Nothobranchius furzeri: one gene and its partner. The protein of the gene in region 2 purifies or fractionates together with the protein of the main gene of each other region. This does not show direct contact. Links are inferred from orthologs where the notes say so. Each region holds a gene or a part of one and is shown on either strand. Other genes may lie near its edges.

Region 1 (3,447 bases), on a different chromosome or scaffold from region 2:
TGAATAAAAACACACCTGACTGTATTTATCATCACCTGATTCACTGATGTGCAAATTATGTTTAAGTTGTGAGCCAATAAAAAAAAAAGATGAGTGAAATCAGTGGAGTTTTTGACTTAATGAAAAATGCAAGAGGAGACCCAAAGGGTTGGATCCTCTCGGGTTTAAGTTGGGACTCGTAAAGTTCCAACTCACAGGTCATTACATCCGCTGCTGCTTTGCATTAAACACTCCAGTAATTGCTGACTCCGTTGGAAGCTCTGAACCTCATTTTTCCTGCCACACATGCATGTCTGTCTCAAAACCTCCACGGGCAAAAATCACGCAGCAGGAGGACGAGTTCAAAAACACAACAAAACGATGAGTTAGCAACAAACACTAAAGCTGCTAGAGCTGCAGCTCCACGTAGCGAAGCTTTCATGAGCTCCTTTAAACCTGCAGCTGTGTTATTACCACCATGTGTGTTTTCTTATTAATGCATTCAAACAACAGACACGAGGTTCCATGAAAAAAAAAAAACAAGATCATTTATTACAGAAACAGTAAAACAAACGGAGTAAAATTAGATCAAGTCCATGTACAGTGACCCAGAGAGTTAAAAGAGTTTGTATGGATTGACTATTGAATCGTGTGCTCTGAGATACACTCGCTGTTGAACTTTGTGGGGGAAAGCTGCGTAAGAGTTTCTTTTAGCTCATCAAAATACAACCAAACAAAAAAACAAAGAAGAAGGTGGAGGAGTTGGTGCGTTTTTGTCTCTCAGCTCAAAAGAAAAGTCCTCTCATCCTTCGGCCGATGCCCTGCCGGTCGTACAGGACGTTGAACTTGTTGATGAACTGGTTCATACTGTTGCAAGTCTTGGTGATGGTGCCTAAGTAGGCCATGAGGCCCACGTCATTACATTGCTGCAGGATCAAGGGGAAATAGGAACATATCAAATCTGGACTTTTGCTTACATAAATGTTGATATTTTGCTCACAAACAGCCAGCGTCATGTTTAGATGGTAGAAAACAAACCTGAAAATCTCTTTTTCTTACTCACATTAAATAAACACAACGACAGCCCCATGTTTGCCCTGCTGCTTTGAGCTTTACCCAGGTTTAGGCTCATTTTTCTCTATTATAGGAATAAATAGCTTCTAATAATTTCCGTGCTCTCCTGTACTCTTTCTACATCAACATTTAGCTCAGTGTTCATTTTAAAACTCATAAATAGGTGTTCATTAACTAAATCTTTGCGCTTTTTCTAAAAAACCTAAAAATCTAGTCATGAAACATGAATATTTCTGAATTACAACCAAGTTTACTCACGTCATAGAAATCCGTTTTGAACTTTATGGTGCTGAGGACCGGCAGTCTGTGGCAGAGGGCGTTAGCTTCACGAAGGATCTCGTGGTTAAACGGCACCTCTCCTGTTACACACACAAACACACACGCATCACATGCACACACACACATGCATGCACACACAGGAAAAATAACTTAAAAAGCATATAATAATGTGTTGGGATCATGTTTATTTACAAAAGGGCTTGTACGTGTGTGTGTGTGTGTGTGTGTGTGTGTGTGTGTGTGTGTGTGTGTGTGTGTGTGTGTGTGTGTGTGTGTGTGTGTGTGTGTGTGTGTGTGTGTGTGTGTGTGTGTGTGAAGACAAGAGGGGAAGAACCTAGTGAGAACAGCTGCTTAACTGATGTATTGAGACATTTTTCCCCTCGGAGCCTCATAAACGTGTCTCTCACCTGCCTCGACGGCTTTGACGTATTCTAGAATTATCTTCACTCGGCTGTGGAGCATCTTTATTGCGCTGTGCTGAGCTATAAGGTGTTCAGCCACTGACAGAGGAAAGAGAACAATAAACACATTAAAAACAAACACAGTCAGTTAGAATAACCTTTCTCAGTGGCCGAGTGGTAGAGTGTCCGCCCTGAGACTGGGAGATCAGGGTTCGATTCCCGGTCGGGTCATACCAAAGACTTTGAAAAAATGGGACCCAATGCCTCCCTGCTTGAGACTCAGCATTAAGGGGTTGGATTGGGGGGTTAAACCACCAAATAGTTCCCGAGCGCGGCTGTGTCTACTGCTCACCGCTCCCCCCAGGGGATGGGTCAAATGCGGAGAACAAATGTCGCACACACACCTGTGTGTGTGACAACTAATGGGACTTTGACATCAGACACATCAGAGTGGTGACTAACAACCTGCCTCTTCCTCACTCGCCTTGACTCTGAACCAGCTGCTGGTGTGTATTCGTCTCTCAAAGCATCTCATGACCCACATGGTGGGTTTTATCGAAACTCTGATGTGTATTTACAATTAAATTAGCTTTAGAGTCCATTAAAGATGGCCGTCACAGCTAATCAACGTTAGCAAACACGAAGATGGATGTAACTTAGTGAAGTTTACAGATATTGAGCTAAACTTGGTGTAAGTAACAGAGTCATAAACACAGACTAACAAATCAAACAAAATAAATAAATACTGAATTAGATCCCTGTTTGGCCTGGCTTGTTCTCCTCACCTGTGGAGTTTTCTCCGGTGCCGGTGGCTGTCATTCGAGCTACATGATCAACACCGATTCTCTCTGCCTCCTCTGTGGCTAAAGTGTAAGTCAGCTCAGCAAACAACATGGTAGCCTGGGTGGCAACAAAAGAAAACCACACACAGAAATGTTAGTAGAGAACAAAATTATTGTGAAAAGAAGTTTTTCAACTGAGCAGGACGTACCTCGCCACTGATGATGTCAATCACAGATTCATAAACACTAACAGGAAGCTGAAGGAGAAAGGAAACACTTTTTAAAACCCGTCTGATTGCTGCTGCTTCACCGATGCACCGAGGATAAACTTACGTCAGTGTGTTTGGTCATTGGGTTGAGCTTCAGGAAGAGTGGACTCTCAATGATCTCACACACCTGGCAGCAAACACACACGTATACAACAAAAGTATTATAAACACTTATTAATAACAAAACTCATGAGTGTGTGTGTGTGTGCCTGCTCTGTCTTCTCGATCCCCAGTGAGTCGTGGAGGATGGCTGCTTATACTGAGCCAGGATTCTCTGGAGGTTTCTTCCTGTTAAAAGGGAGTTTTCCTCTCCACTGTCGCTTTATGCTTGCTTAGTATAAGGATTGCTGTAAAGTCACTGACACTAGTCAGTGACTTGATGCAATCTGCTAGGTTCCTTATACAGGAAACATTTTACTGATTGGCTTAATGAACTGACCTGTATTCTAAAATCACTCAACAAGTTACAGTTAGTCCAAAATTCAGCTGCCCGGATAATCACCAAGACCTCCACTTTTGATCACATTACCCCTTCACTGGCTCCCTGTCAAGTACAGAATTGACTTCATGCCTTCTTCATGCCTTTAAAGCCATCCATAATCTCTGCTCCCCCATATCTTTCTAATCTCCTCCACATTGTCACTCCCACTCGCTCTCTCCGAT
Region 2 (3,500 bases):
ATTTGGTCTAGTTCACTAGGCTAGATGTCTCATGCTCCCTGAACCACTCTTTCACTATCTGAGCCTGAATGAATCCTGGCATTGTCATCTTGGAATATGCCCGAAGAAAACGTCCATCGATGGAATAACCTGGTCATTCAGTATATTCAGGTAGTCAGCTGACCACATTCTTAGAGTACATCCTGTTGCTGAACCTAGACCTGACCAACCGCAGCAACCCCATATCATAGCACTTCCCCCACAGGCTTGTACAGTAGACACTAGGCACGATGGGTGCATCACTTCATCTGCCTCTCTTCTTACCCTGATGCACCCTCACTCTGGAACATGGTCCATCTGGACTCATCAGACCAGTTTTTAATAAAGCGTTGGACAGTTCTTTACCCATTGTAGTCGTTTCGACAATTTCAGATGTTTTCTCTGCTTGATGCCAATGATCTGACCCTTCTCAAACAGACTAACATCTTTTCCACGACCACCAGAGGTGTCTTTCCACATGGTTGTTGAAGAAATGAGAAGCAACTCAGTGCACCAGTTGGGGTTAAATAACTTGTTGCTGGAGGCCTGTGCCTCTTTGCTTACTTAAATCCAGGTGGCCACCTTTTTGGGGCTAGGTAGTGTATATTCATTTTTTATAACTGATATAGATTTTTTAACTTACATTTGTGTGTTCCAGGTAGGACAGGGTTATCCCCATGACCCCCCTAAGGTAAAGTGTGAGACGATGGTGTATCATCCCAACATCGACCTGGAGGGAAACGTCTGCTTAAATATCTTAAGGTCTGTCTCTGTGTGTCGTCTGAGGTTAAGGTTTATTTAAGGCCCGGTGGATCATGTGAACCAACGGGAGCTTGATTTACATACATTTGGTTTAACAACATCAATGGTTATAACAGAAATCTCCTGATTGGCTCAACTTGTAGCAGCATCAGAGAGCCTTTGAAACAGAAAATGATACAGACCGTGGCAGAGGGGTTAGGTGCTGGCCCCGTAACCCGAGGGTTGCAGATACAAGGTCTGCTCTGTCACAGTCGTGTCTTTGGGCAAGACACTTAACCTTCCTTGCCTGATGCTGGTGGTCAGAGGGACCAGTGGTGCCTGTGCTCAGCAGCCTCGCTTCTGTCAGTGTGGTCCAGGGAAGCTGTGGCCAATGTTTAGCTCTGTACTACCAGCGTGGGAGTGTGTGTGTGCATGGGTGAATGACTGGTTGTGTTGTAAAGCATCTTGGGGGGTTGTAGAACCCTAGAAGGTGCTATATCAAATACAGACCAATTACCATGAAAGATTTCAGTGTTTTTTCTGTCATAGAAGCCTTAAATCTAAGTGGATTTTAAAGACGAGGACTTAATTAAACACAAAGTTGACGAGGATTTTGTTTGTTTGTGTCTCTGGTTGTCATCCACAGAGAGGACTGGAAGCCCGTGTTGACAATAAACTCCATCATCTATGGTCTACAGTATCTATTTCTAGTGAGTTAAACTCTGATTCTTTCACTGTTTGTTTAAAGTCAGAGTCTCTGTGAGGGAATGACTTCTAGCATCAAAATTAAAATATAATTCACTGTCAGTAAAAATAATGAGAATGCAAAAGAACAAGTAGAGGCTGGGAAATTTAAAAGCTGGTTCCGCATTCTCGTCAGAATCCCAGTTTTGGTCCAGAACTCTTGATCCAATCCCCACCTATCTGTTTTCCTTCCCAGCAGCCAGTCTTTCTTGCTATTTGTGGTTCTGTGATTCTTTTGTCTTTTAAAGGGGCCAGATCCTTGAAAATCCACTTTTTGGAGCTTGTTACCATGTGATATTGGCATTTCCTCATGAGAAATACTCCCCAAACCCTTTTTGGTTGCATTCATGCCTTTTCCTGCCTCAGCTTCAACTTTGTCCATGTAAAGATTTGTCCTGCGTCCAGGAGAAAGTAGCCCACTTGTGTCATCAGGCATCTCTCCTCCCCCTGAATCTGGTCTGGTCTTGACACAGTTGCAGCTCCCCGCTCCCCACAGGGATGGGTCAGATGCAGAGATGTAGTTTCACCAGTGTGTGATGATGACTTTAACTTTAAAATGCTGAAGCCTAAGATGCTGACATACAGAAGGTGCGTTTTGTCAGAGCGGATGGAGTTTTACTGAAATTGATTGTTTTATTTCCCCGTATAAATTCAGGCTGATGAAAAAAAATTCATATTTAAGATCAATTACATGTCAATAGTGCCAACGGTAATATTTAATCATAAACTGTGCCTACCTTTGCTCTCAAAGGCACAAGTGTCAAACTCGGGCCCTCGGGTCAAATCTGGCTTGTGGTCTATTTAAATTTGGTGCATTTACCACAAAGACTACAAATCCCAGAATGCTTTGTGACGTTAGCGACGTCAGTCGAAGCACCCCCTCCTTTTCTGTTTATAGTCATTAGCGTCCGTGCTACCAGCGTCGACATCTGCAGCCGTACCTCCTCAGTGATGGAGAAACTGAAGATCCTCCTCTTACTAGCCCAAAAATGGAGGCTCTGACTGCTCAGTAATGTTTGCGGGTGACGTGGAAAGCACACCAACCAACCTCCAGATGGAGCTAAGCGAACTCCAGTGTAGTGACAAGCTCAAGTCAAAGTATAACTGTGGCTGCTGAATAATTATACCAGGATTTTTGAGGTGAATAGTGAGTTATTATTATGATGATGATCACTATTATTATCTGTAAATATCTTCCCTTTTTTTGTTTGTTTTTATTGCCTTCTTGTGTTCTTGTATAACTTGAGTTGAACATTCATCAGTATAGCTTGTGTGTAAATTAATAACCTATAATTAGAAAAATGTTTGACCTCCTTTGCCCAGATATTATTACTTCTATGTTCCACCTAAGAAAACGCCTCTTCAGTGATTTAGTTTCTTTGTTTTATAATTTTGTAAACGTTGCATTTCAGCTTTGATGTTTTGTAGGGATGTACCGAAATGAAAATCCTTGGCCGAAACCGAAAACCAAAGCATTAGAAGGACTGTAAAATTAACAAGTCGCTGTGATGGATAGGAGTAGTCTCGGATCACGTGGTGTCTATCGATTGTTATTTACCTGTTGCGCACCTGCGTGGGAAGGCTGTTATAATGAGCTGGGGTCTCATTTATCAAACATGGCGTAGAATCCTTACTAAAACCGTACTTAAGCTCAGCAAAACAAATGTACTTACGCCAAGCAGGTGTGTGACCTATCAAACATGGAGGACGCACAGCTGCACTCAATCTCCGCTTCATAAATCAGAGACTAACGGGAATGTTTCTCAGCTGCTTTTTAGTCACATCCCGCCCTCACCACGCCCACTTACTGCCATAAATAGTCAATGCAAAGTGCCTTGTGGACCTCATGCATACACATAAGCCGGCTGTTGCAGCGCTCCGCCAATGACATGGCGACCGTAGATCAAGGCAGATCAAGGAAGCTCTATTTCACAGAAGCAGAAGTTGAGGTACCTGTGGGTGAGGTGGAGAAATGAAAGCAGGGATGGACATTAACT

Evidence for each region. The genes of interacting proteins can lie anywhere in the genome.
Region 1: the proteins of ube2m (region 2) and cops6 purify together in Homo sapiens (affinity purification with mass spectrometry; 3 studies listed by BioGRID and IntAct, counting the BioPlex papers as one, with this or other methods). This does not show direct contact. The link is inferred for Nothobranchius furzeri from reciprocal best matches to the Homo sapiens genes UBE2M and COPS6.

Annotation. Positions count from the first base shown.
Region 1 is NC_091741.1:79,983,924-79,987,370, forward strand, and holds the end of cops6 (COP9 signalosome complex subunit 6), read right to left. Parts: intron 2,912-3,447; coding exon 2,849-2,911; intron 2,773-2,848; coding exon 2,725-2,772; intron 2,634-2,724; coding exon 2,519-2,633; intron 1,833-2,518; coding exon 1,740-1,832; intron 1,413-1,739; coding exon 1,312-1,412; intron 906-1,311; coding exon 765-905; 3' UTR 501-764; downstream 1-500. UniProt on the Homo sapiens protein: Component of the COP9 signalosome complex (CSN), a complex involved in various cellular and developmental processes.
Region 2 is NC_091745.1:29,846,255-29,849,754, forward strand, and holds part of ube2m (NEDD8-conjugating enzyme Ubc12), read left to right. Parts: intron 1-676; coding exon 677-780; intron 781-1,405; coding exon 1,406-1,469; intron 1,470-3,500.